Danio rerio: one gene and its partners. The protein of the gene in region 1 binds, or shares a complex with, the protein of each later gene. Links are inferred from orthologs where the notes say so. Each region holds a gene or a part of one and is shown in the gene's direction. Other genes may lie near its edges.

Region 1 (4,317 bases):
GCTCATGTATTGGGGCCAATTCTTTCAAACTACCTCAAAGACAAACAAATTAAAAACCATTTTAAGGTCAAAATTATTAGCCTCTTTAAGCTAGGTTTTTCCCGATAGACTACAGAACAAACCATCGTTATACAATAACTTGCCTTATTACCCTAACCTGCCTAGTTAACCTAATTAACCTAGTTAAGCCTTTAAATGTCACTTTAAGCTGTATAGAAGTGCCTTGAGAAAAATCTAGTCAAATATTATTTACTGTCATCATGACAAAGATAAAAGAAATCAGTCATTAGAAATGAGTTATTAAAACTGTTATGTTCAGAAATGTGTTGGAATTTTTTTTATATCCATTAAATAGAAATGGGGGGAAAAAATAAACAGGGGCGTTATTAATTCTGACTTAACCTGTATGTATGTATGTATGTATGTATGTGTATTATTTAATTATAGACTGTATATGTATGTAGATGCAGTTTTTCAACTTAAAATTAAAGGATTTTATTAAAAATTAATTAATATTATACCACTATTACTATTGATATTATAATTATTTAATTATATTATTGAAATTGAATAAAAATAAATAATATAAATGAAGTCATAAATAAGGCGATGCAGTGGTGCATTAGGTAGAGCTGTCGCCTCACAGCAAGAAGGTCGCTGGTTCGAGCCTCAACTGGGTCAGTTGACATTTCTGTGTGGAGTTTGCATGTTCTCCTGGCGTTTGCGTGGATTCCCTCCGGGTGCTTCAGTTTCCCCATCAAGTCCTAAAACTTGCGGTACAGGTGAATTGGGTAGGCTAAATTGTTCGTAGTGCCTGAGTGCGAATGGGTGTATATGTTTCCCAGAGATGGGTTGCGGCTGGAAGGGCATCCCCTGTGTAAAAACTTGCTGGATAAGTTGGCGGTTCATTCCGCTGTGGCGACCCCAGATTAATAAAGGGACTAAGCTAAAAAAAAATGAATGAAAAAGTAATAAATAAATAACTCAAACCTATATAAAAATGTAATAGTTAATCAACAGGAAATGGTTGATGTGGTCTAAAGTACTGATTTGGTTTGAAAAAAAAGCTTCTATTCTTTTATAAAGAGGTTCTATGCAATCAAATTGATTTACTATAATTGTTCATTTTCTCTGGAGTTAATCTTATAACAAACAAAACGAATTATATCTGGCTGTGTTATAGCTACCTCTTCTGGTCACTGCAGATACTTACACTAGCCAATAAGACTTTTTTATACATATTTAAGCTACACTTTCATTAAATTGTCTGCTCATAGTTGTACAAAAAATGTCTTTGATGTAAGATAAACGTAATATATAATACGTTTTTTATCATTAGTTAAAAATGGCCTGTAAGTTATAGTGGACACAGACGATACACCTCCAAATCAATAGGGGGCGGCAGTTTTGCAGAAGTCTTGTCTGACGTCACGCACGCGGCAAAAACAAAAATGACGTACCCGCGGTATTTCCCTTAAATTTAGATTTTGATACTTTGCCTAATTTTATAGTATAAACTCTATATTTTTCGAAGTACGCACACAGAAGATCATTTCTAGCCAAGAGCCATTGCTTGTCCGCTTGTTAAAGGTGAGCATATTGATATTATTATCGCCTTGCTGGATCTTCAGTTATGTTACATTTCACTCTTACTAATGTGTAAAATACTGGAATTCAGTATAGCTTATAGTTTAACACAGATTCTGAATTGTTATCTTGAAATGCGTATTTTTATGTTCACATAATACAGATCGCTTTATTATGCGTGCGCATGTGTTTATAAGACAGTTAGCATTTAACGTTAGTGTTTAACGTTACACTTACTGTGATTCAGTAAATCGACATGGGTTCTTTCGATGTAAACAGATTTAAAATATGTCATTATTTGCTCTCTCTTCACGTGTTCCAAACTCGTTGAGTTTCTTTCTTCTGTTAAACACAAAAGAAGACGTTTTAAAGAAAGCTGGAAACCTGTAAATATTAACAACTATTAAACGTCAATTGACTTTTACAGTATTTGTGTTTCCTACTCTGGAAGTCAATGGTTACAGGGTTTCAGCGTTCAAAATCTTCATTTGTGTTCAGCAAAAGAAAGAAAATCATCAAGGTTTGTATACATGAATACTTGTTCATTTTTTTGGCAAACCATGCTTTTAATCATACTTTACTACTTATAAAGCAAATACATACAGTTGTAATTAAAATTTGATTATTGTAAATCCACAATGCTTTTTTCTAATCATAATTAAACCATGGTACTTGCAGCAAAATTATGGTTATACAAATGATAAGCCAAATTCCAAAAGTACCATGGTTATTACATTTTTACTATAATAAAACTTGTATTATTACAGCAGTCTAAAATCACACATTTTGTTAGATGTTAGTCACTTATGATTAAGTTTTATATACTTTAATTGAAAATGTCTGGTAAAAAATGTGTATTTCAGCGTATTTTGAAAGTACTTGGTCATGGACTCTGTGGAGACAAGATATGCCCATTTACTGCAACCCTTGCGGGACCTCACCAAGAACTGGGACATAGACTTGGCCAGCCAGCTTGGAGAATATCTCGAGGAGGTGAGAAAACATACAGTCTGATTGAGAATTACCTTAATGTTTTGAATGTGCAGATTTTCATATTATTGCTGTTGTTTTTGTTGTTGACAGCTGGACCAGATGACTATTTCATTTGATGGTGGAAAGACCATGATGAACTTTGCAGAGGCTGCACTTTTGATTCAAGGATCAACATGCATCTATGGCAGAAAGGTACAATGTTTGATCAATCAAAAGAGAAATGTACTAGAATTTCACATTTTCCAATTGTGATCATGTTATTAACAGGGAACCATTTCATTTTGCACATTTTAATCCTCAATATGTTTCAGAATCACATTTCTAAACAAATGCAACATGTTAACACGTGTAATTCATTTATTTTTATTTAATTTATTTATTTTTCTGTAGGTTCAATAAAATAAATAATAAAATAACACAAAATACAGTATTGCAATTTTAAGTGTTTTTGTTTATGTATGCAGTCAATGTGTTTCATAATCAAATGTGATTTTAAAATTGTTTGTAAAACTTAAATAAATCTGTCCCAAGATTAATGGTGAAATTTGCTGTGAACATTTAGGTGGAGCTCCTTCACACTCTGGTGTTCCAAACATTGGACTACATCTCTAATAAAAACAAAAAGTAGGTGATTGAAAAAAAAAAGATAATAATAATAATAATAATAATAATAATAATAATTGACCTCCAGTTTCTGTTTATTCTTTATGTGTAATGTTGCTTGTTTTTTCCTAACAGACGTGATAAACAAGGTTCTTCATCAGATGGAAACCAAGAACAAGCTCCTTCGGGAAGCGAAGGCGATGGTTGTGAGGTGTGTAAATGATCAACATTTGATAACTTTAAATATGTGGTTATATTGTGAGTAATTGTGTGTTTTTGTGCAGTTTGATGAGATTGAGCAGGATGAGAATGTCAACACTCACAATATTACAATGAAAGATCCAACAGAGGTAAGCATGGTTATATTGCTTTCTAGAACCTGTGTTTGTGTCCAGAAGCTTTGTCTGAATCTGTTCATGCTTGTAGTTTGGTTTATTTGGTTGATTTGTTTTGGGGGAAAAAGATAAAGAAAATGTAATATGTGAATTTTTTTTTTGTAGTCTTGGTTGGTTTAGGATGTATGCTGTCCTTTAGGATTCAGACTGAAAATGTTTTTATAATTTCTATTTTGTAAAAGAATTAAACAATATAATGTTGTTGCAAACCTCAAAGTTCAGATGGCAATATTCACATTTATTCAAATAAACTGCACTAACAAACAATCAAAACCGAGTTTGTTATAATCAAACCAAGTCTGCCTAGTATGAGTGAATTTTGACTGGACATAGTATTCTTTTTACTAGTGATTATATGCTCTTGATATAAAGCAATACCAGCAATTGTTTAGTATTCTCTGCACAGCAAATGGTTGTTTTGCGAAAACCTTTTATAAGAATTCAGGAAAGTTTTGATATATTTGTTTTTGTGGTACTAATTCTTTTTCACTCATTTGTTTTTAGCCAGTGAGAATTATCCGTCTTCCTCCTGAATCTCTCATTCCTGCTGAATCACACGAGAAGCAAAAATACCCCCTTCTAAGGTAAAGTCACTGTCATGTAGAGACAAATGAAAATGATGCATACATTTACACTGTAAAACAGCAAATAGGAGAATGTAAAGAATCTTCCATTGGGTTCACACCTGTAGATTAGTTGTCAGGGTTCTTTAGTCCAGACCAAAAAGGAGAATAATGAA
Region 2 (3,647 bases), on another chromosome or scaffold:
AAATTAAATTTAGTAATGTTTAACTTAATTGGTTTGTTTAAAATCAGACCGTATATAAAAGTTTTGCAACCAGTTACCTTAAAAAATGTAGTAAAGTGTATTGCTCTCATTTGCTTCTTCTCAGGAACGTGCATCCTATCTGGAGTACCAGAAGCTCATGCGAGAGATTGAACACCTGAGTCGGCTGTACGTGGCGTACCTGTTTGTGTGTGCCGAGGAAACCAAGCTGAAGTCTAATGAAGAACTGCAAGAGATGCAGAGCTCCATCGCAAAGCTGCAGGAGAACATGAAACAGAATGAGGCCAAAGTGAAGGAGCTCAGTGCAGAGATACAGGAGCTGGAGCGCAGGAGAGACAAGGTGAGTGGAGAACAAACAGCCAGATCTAAAAACAAGGGCAGGAATTAATAGTGCATTCATTGGGAATATTCATTAAGGGGGCAATTCCTGTCTAACAAAGTCCATCAGAGTAGTGGGGGGCAGGCCCAAGGAGAACAAGGGCTCACTTATGGATTACTTATTATAAAAACTGAGCAGATTGCTCCGTTTTTGGCTAAATAAATAAAAAATGTAAATTATAATAATTCCTTACTTGTATATAGCACTTTTCTGGACACTTAAAGCATTTTACACATTGAGGGAATCTCCTCATCCACCACCAGTGTGCACCACTGATGATGCCACCTGGATGTTGTTTCAGTGATTCATTTAAATTGCTATCAGATTTTATTTGCTAAGCTAATTTCCGCCTCTTATAATCTACTGAGACTTTTAATTATTATTAATTATTCGATTTAAAAAAATGCAAATATTTTTTTTTTCCAAAGTTCAAATGCAAATATTTTTTTTCTGTAAAATATTCTATTTACATATTGTGTAATGATATTTACATCACAATATATTTTACCATCACAAATATGCAAACATAGTGCATGTAAGAGAAAAGGAGTACAGAGAAACAGAGAACAGTATCAGATCAGTAAGAATACAAATTGTCCTTGTGTTTATACATAGTTTTAAGATAATTTATAAAAGAACACCACTTTTGTTGCTGTTGTTTTTTTTTTCTTTCAAATTTCTAATAAGTTTTTTTCAAAACATGTCTTTCTTAAGAACAGATATGCTACCTACTATTAAAAAAAAGGTTTAGTTAAATATTTCAATCCGCACCAGTGCATTAAACTCATTTATACTGTTACACAGAAAAATTCTGTGTAAAATACAGTTGAAGTCAGAATTATAATTTTTTTCTTTTTAAAATATTTTCTAAATAATGTTTAACAGAGCAATGAAATTTAGATTTTTTTATATTGTTTGATTTCGGCTAGAATAAAAGGAGTTTTTATTTTTTTAGAAACCATTTTAAGGTCAAAATTAATAGCCCTGTTGAGCTATATATTTTTTCGATACACAATCGTTATACAATAACTTGCCTTATTACCCAAACCTGCCTAATTACCATAGTTAAGCCTTTAAATGTCACTTTAAGCTGTATAAAAGTGTCTTGAAAAATATCTAGTCAAATATTATTTGCTGTCATTATGGCAAAGAAAAAATAAATCTGTTATTAGTAATGAGTTATCAAAACTTTTATGTTTGGAAATGTTTGGAAAAAAATCTTCTCCATTAAACAGAAATTGGGGGAAAATATAGACAGGGAGGCTAATAATTTAGGGGGTTTAACAATTCTGACTTCAACTGTAAATGTTGTGCTTTTCAACTTTCTCTTTATAAACAGTATATCACAGTTTTTACTTAAAAATGGCATAACTGTTGTCAGCTTTGATAATATTAAGCCAATCAATTGAGCATTTTATAATGATTTCCGAAGATCACATGACATTGAACTCAACTCATGAATTCAGCTTTGCTATAACAAGAATAAACATCTTTTTAAAACCTGTATTTCACAGTGCTGCTTTTATGGTATTATTTTTTTAGATACGCAACCTTAAAAGACCTTACAAACTGCTAAATCAAAGTGTATTCACAATTCATCTTATAGTACTGAATTGAAACAAGTGGTGAACAAATGTCAAATTCCTCCATCAGAGATGAGACCTTTTATCAATGTTTACATTTTAAACAAGTGGCAAGAAGACGGGATGCATTAGAAAATAATACATTACATGAAATCCAACCTGAAATCTCACAGATTGTTAAGAGATTTTAAGACTAGATTTGATCAGGTGATTTTTACCAGACACAATACAAGAATAACCCATGTTTTTTGCTCCAATGTGAAATCCCTACTCGGTGTTTGTGCTGCACGACTCCCCTTAAAACACATTTTTCTGGACTGTCCTGCTTTTACTGATTCCAGAAGACTTTTAAATGAATTGAACTCTCATAAGGACATTTTTAGCAAAGTGACAACAAAAAAGATTTTAATATTTTTATTATGTAATAACACTAAAAAACTTATTTAATTGATGTGTTCCTTATTGATTTTTAATTGTATATTTATTGAAATGTTCCTCCCATGAAAATAGCCTTGGTCACTGACATGGCATTAAATAAAAAATGCAATACATTATAGTTCTGAATATAAGTGTATTCACAACTGTACCATTCAAACATGTAAACAATATATGACTACACTTACTATTTTAATCATAAGTTATCTGAAATGCAGTGATTTAAAAAATGTGATAATGTTTCCTTTAATCTAGCAATATGTATTGTATAATTAACTCAGATTATATAAAACGTTTATTAATTAGAAATAGTAATTGTTATCATGGTTATTTTTTTGCATGTATAATTTTTTCATCTTGAAATTTTGTGTTGTAAGTTATTGCGGCTGCATCTGTTGTGTAGCTTTAGTTGTGTCAACTGTCAAAATGTTCTATGCAGAGAGGAAAACTGTCTTTAATTTATTCAAAATGATTTGTGGTTCTGATTAAACTCATCCAAGGTCCAAATCTGGACCGCAGTCTGCGGTGGGGTGACCTCGAATTTAAATAGTTTGGGTTTCTTTTACTTGAACAGGTTTGGTAATCGAGTACTTTTGTGGAGACTGGAGGTCTGTAATATGGGATGGGATGGTGGGTAATGGACTGGCAAAAGTATTAAAATCATTGTACGGGAAAAGATTTGTGAATTTTTAATGATGCAAATTGATACCTGTTAGAAAAGTGTGCGGTTGATTGATTGAATATTTCTGTCTCCTGTTGTACTCCATTAGCTCGTCTCATTTCTGTGTCTGTCTCTCTTTCTCTCCAGGAGGTTGGGGGGGTATTGAGGACGCTGGAAGAGACCTTGTCTGAAGCACAGAGAGTGGACACCAAGGCCCAAAGTGCCCTGGATCTGAAGAAGCAAAACCTGAAAGATGAGACCAAGAAGAGGAAAGAGCTGGTCAAAAACATGGAGGAGGTATGAGATGATGCTGTCCTTTATTCAAATTAGGCTTTTGTATTTGCTTTTTGGTTTTCCACTCTTTGACTTAAAGGTAGTTCACCCAAAAATGGAAATTTACTCAAGTGGTTCCAAATATTTGAGTTTTATTTAATCTGTTGAACCCAAAAGAGATATATTGAAGATGCATACAATTCTTGTTTGTCGTCTCGCGCATTGTGTCTGTTTGTGTCTGTAGATTTCAGTTGCAATATATATTTTTACTACTTCACTCTCTTAGACATAAATCTCC
Region 3 (3,647 bases), on another chromosome or scaffold:
ATTGTAAACAATACATATTTATATATATATAAATAAAAATGCCTATGTTTGCTATTATTGACACTAGCTGCTGGAAGATGTTCTCTCAGTTCAGGACACCTCCTCCATGGCCAGCCTGCTGGAGATCCTTGTCATTCTGTGGAAGAGTGTTCAGAAATCTCTAATGGCTAATCAAGAGGCCTTTAAGTACACCACTGCAAAGTTTGGATCTTCTCTGCCCCAGTACCTTAAAATCTTTCAGGTAAGAGGCACGTTCAAGCGATGAAACCAAAGGACAATTTTAAGATCAAAATGGCACACTATAATCACATCTTCAAAGCTGATGCAACATGGGTGCAACATGACGCATTTGTGTGTGTGTGTGCATGTGCGCAGGAGGAGCGATGCAAAGCACCTCTCATTCTTCTAGCATCTTTACTTCCTGCCTCTGCTCTTCCAGCTCTGAGGTTAGTACACTTATTACACTATAGGACTTCCCTTAAAAAAATCCCTAAATGCCCCATTTTAGAAGAATAATGCAGCCAACAATGAAAACACTCTTTCTTGACATAAGGTGAATTGTCTAAATAGTAAAAAATATGAACAAGTGTACCAGCAAAGGACAGTTTTAAAAAGAACAGCACTTCTAAATATATGTTTTTCTGATGATTATCTAGCACAGTCCACGTGCTTCAGTCAGTCGTCTCCCCAGAACAGCAGGTTGGCTCAAAAGCGAATTGCCAATTCTGATTTCCATTTGATCCCAAAAGCATCCTTTTAATGCTGGTGGGATTGAGCGTGTTTTTTCAAAGAATTAGAGCGATCTGTAGAAAAGTCTGGGTGTACAGCATGACTGTGTCCTTCTCTGCAGGAGTAAAGTGATGTCTCACTTGAGGAGCTTGAAAGCGGGTGCTGCTGTGACAACGTACAGTCAGACGTTGGAATGTCTCTGTAGCTGGGGGCAGATCAGCCATATAGTGGAGCTTATCGAGAACTGGCTCACTGAGGCCGCACCTGTGAAAGAGGTACATGTGCTGGAAAGTGTCTATGTGTGGGGGTCATTATTAAGGCTGGGTATTGTTTTTGTGTTTTTAAAGGGATAGTTCAATTAAAAAATATAATCCTCCCCATTATTTTAAAGGTACAGTAGGTGATCTGCCTAAATGCTATCAGTTTGCCATACAATCATTGAAATACAGTCCATCCCCTGCCGTCCAAAGCCATGCCATGGTGTCATCCTTTCTCCAGCATGCAAGAGTAAATCCAATACTAATTCAGGATTTTAAAAAGTTTTGATTCAGCATTTGTTTTTACCGCTGTCACTCTTTCAACTAGCACAACAAAAAATGTTTCTGAAGACAATCACATACTGCACCTTTGAACATGTTTGACTTTCCCTCATCTGTTGAACACAGAAGATATTTTGAAGAGTGCTGGTTGCTGAGACCCGACTTTTATATTAGATTTTTTACTGTAGAGTTCAATGGATACTAGCAACCAGCATTCCTTAAAAAATCCTCAGAAGAAAAAAAATCAAACAGAAGAAATAAACTTAAACAGGTTTTGCTCAGCTACCTAAACAGCTACCTAAATTGACATTTTAAATTGTATTATTGAAATTGAAAAATATATTGAAAGTTTTAGACAACGTAAAGACATAAGTAAATGCAAAGCAAATTTACTAAACAATAAATCATAGCCATCTTGGCCATCTACAATAATTGAACAGTAAATAAGAGCACTATTCACAGCAAAACTACTTATGCAGAAACATGACTTTATTTGGCAAAATACAACACCTCTGCCTGCCGTCTTACTTCATGTTCTGATATGTCATCGTTAGACCATTAAAAACTTTGTGCATTAAAACGCTTTGTGATCATTCACAATAGGTACATTGTGAGTATATGCAAAGTTGAGTCTGGATTATGTGACTGTGTGAGGATTGTAAAAGCATTCCGGCATAAGAAATTGTACCGTTTGTAACTTTGACGAATTAATAATAATTAATTTTATTGAATTGTTTCTAAAATGAAGACTATGAGATAATATTTTTTTTACCTTTGATTATTCAATTACTATATCTGAATACAGTTTGACTCCTTGGAAAACAGCAAAATGCTGTTTATTTAATTTGTATATTTTTTCTTTATAGAATTTTTCTTTGCTTGTAGATTGTTAAATCTAAAAATATAAATTCTGTCCAAATAGGTATTCAACTCATCTGGTGAAATTGTATTCACATCACGATATATATTGCAGAATAAAAAACATCTCAATGCCAGATTTATTTCAATATTGTGCAGCCCTAGAATACACAATAAGTGATGTTTAGGGCCAGACAGAATCTGCAGACATTTTTTCACTATTTCTGCGCTGAATATTGTAAAAAAAAAAAAAAATCTGTGGATTTGAGCAGAATGATTTTGGGAGTATCGTAACAAAAATGTATTATATGAAATATAAAAAAAAACTTTTTAACATTTATTTAGTGTTTAGAATGCAAATCAAATTAGATCCACTTATTTGGTTAACAAAGCAAGTCTCTCATATAATTTATCTACTAAAAGACAGTAAGCATTATTTTAAAAACTGTATTGTGAATAACTCATATGAACATTTTCATATTAGTCAATACTATTACTGAAAATAATTTAACAACTAAATAAATATACATTTACATAAGTAAATAAATAGAATCGATTGGCTTAAAATCTGCGGATTTCTGCATGCACAGATTCCATGTGGGCCCAGTGATGTCTCTAGAAATATTACAGTTAGACAGAACAGTTATAAGCTTGACATTGCAGTCTCAATAACTAATCATATACTAGTCTGTAGCTTGTAATAAGAATAATCATTCCTTAACTTGCTGTGTCTGTGCTTTTTCACAAATTATGATGGATTAAAAATTATTTTTAATTATTAAAGTTGTTTAATTTAGTTATTAAAGTTATTTTTAATTATTAAAATCATACATCACATGCATCAAAATCTGCATTTTAATTTGATCCAAATACTTACTTGTTACATTGGTATGGCACCAAGTTTCAGAACCTAGCTTTTCATTATAGTGTCTTCATTCTTTCATTAGCAGGGTGATGAAGAATCAACTGGCAAAGTGCATTTTGATGTCCTGGAGGAGTCAAAGCCAGATCTAGGCCTAGACTATCTGGATTACATGCTCTTGAGACCTAAAACACGAGAATGTCTGCTCACACTGCCCCTGGATCAGATGAGACCACTTCATAAAGCCCTCAACAAATGGAAGGTACAGCAAACTTGAAGGTTGAGAATATTATTAGAGAGAATTGGTGAAAGCCTACTCTTTTATTGTGTGTCGTGTTATTACTGTCATTAGATACAAAGTCAATAAGGTAATTGCAGGTTTTCTGTGGCCTTGCTTTGAAAATAGTGCTGCACAGAGCTGAATCATGGCTAAATGTCGTGATGTTTTTGTCCTTATTATCTACTTATATCTCTGAAAGCTCACAGAATTGTTATATTCAAGGATGTTTTGTTTACCAAGGTCAGACTTCAAATATTATATTACATGTTTTTCAGCCTCTATCTTTGAAAAAAATTATGTTTTTTTCAGGGTTTTTGTAGGGTCTTAAAAAGTTTTCATTTTTTTTTTTAAACAAAAATGAAAAGCCTTAAAGTCTTAA

Evidence for each region. The genes of interacting proteins can lie anywhere in the genome.
Region 2: the proteins of ncaph2 (region 1) and smc2 are in contact, whole or in part, in a cryo-EM structure (PDB 9F5W), measured with the Homo sapiens proteins. The link is inferred for Danio rerio from reciprocal best matches to the Homo sapiens genes NCAPH2 and SMC2. Residues at the interface, in NP_689512.2 of Homo sapiens: Glu46, Phe53, Ile54, Glu55, Leu58, Leu59, Gly62, Ser63, Ala64, Cys65, Val66, Lys69, Tyr73; in NP_001036015.1 of Homo sapiens: Leu93, Thr125, Gln128, Asp129, Cys132, Gly135, Leu136, Asn137, Met173, Tyr174, Lys177, Lys178.
Region 3: the proteins of ncaph2 (region 1) and ncapg2 are in contact, whole or in part, in a cryo-EM structure (PDB 9F5W), measured with the Homo sapiens proteins. The link is inferred for Danio rerio from reciprocal best matches to the Homo sapiens genes NCAPH2 and NCAPG2. Residues at the interface, in NP_689512.2 of Homo sapiens: Pro316, Trp317, Gln318, Ser319, Leu320, Pro322, Phe323, Asp324, Ser325, Leu326, Glu327, Ser328, Lys329, Pro330, Phe331, Lys332, Lys333, Gly334, Arg335, Pro336, Tyr337, Ser338, Val339, Glu344, Gln360, Asp361, Phe362, Gln364, Trp365, Tyr366; in NP_001268861.1 of Homo sapiens: Lys248, Leu251, Gln252, His292, Ile294, His295, Leu296, Pro297, Arg299, Ser300, Val302, Lys340, Ala341, Arg342, Asn343, Ser344, Glu345, Val346, Pro388, Tyr389, Pro390, Arg393, Gly425, Glu426, Ala428, Phe429, Asp430, Thr431, Ser432, Arg437.

What each region holds. Positions count from the first base shown.
Region 1 is NC_133179.1:19,032,023-19,036,339, forward strand, and holds the start of ncaph2 (condensin-2 complex subunit H2), read left to right. Parts: upstream 1-1,497; 5' UTR 1,498-1,590; intron 1,591-2,450; 5' UTR 2,451-2,472; coding exon 2,473-2,580; intron 2,581-2,670; coding exon 2,671-2,772; intron 2,773-3,142; coding exon 3,143-3,204; intron 3,205-3,318; coding exon 3,319-3,394; intron 3,395-3,467; coding exon 3,468-3,533; intron 3,534-4,082; coding exon 4,083-4,162; intron 4,163-4,317. UniProt on the Homo sapiens protein: Regulatory subunit of the condensin-2 complex, a complex that seems to provide chromosomes with an additional level of organization and rigidity and in establishing mitotic chromosome architecture.
Region 2 is NC_133176.1:21,044,384-21,048,030, forward strand, and holds part of smc2 (structural maintenance of chromosomes protein 2), read left to right. Parts: intron 1-124; coding exon 125-358; intron 359-3,223; coding exon 3,224-3,373; intron 3,374-3,647. UniProt on the Homo sapiens protein: Central component of the condensin complex, a complex required for conversion of interphase chromatin into mitotic-like condense chromosomes.
Region 3 is NC_133182.1:40,558,073-40,561,719, forward strand, and holds part of ncapg2 (condensin-2 complex subunit G2), read left to right. Parts: intron 1-67; coding exon 68-241; intron 242-375; coding exon 376-446; intron 447-850; coding exon 851-1,004; intron 1,005-3,073; coding exon 3,074-3,250; intron 3,251-3,647. UniProt on the Homo sapiens protein: Regulatory subunit of the condensin-2 complex, a complex which establishes mitotic chromosome architecture and is involved in physical rigidity of the chromatid axis.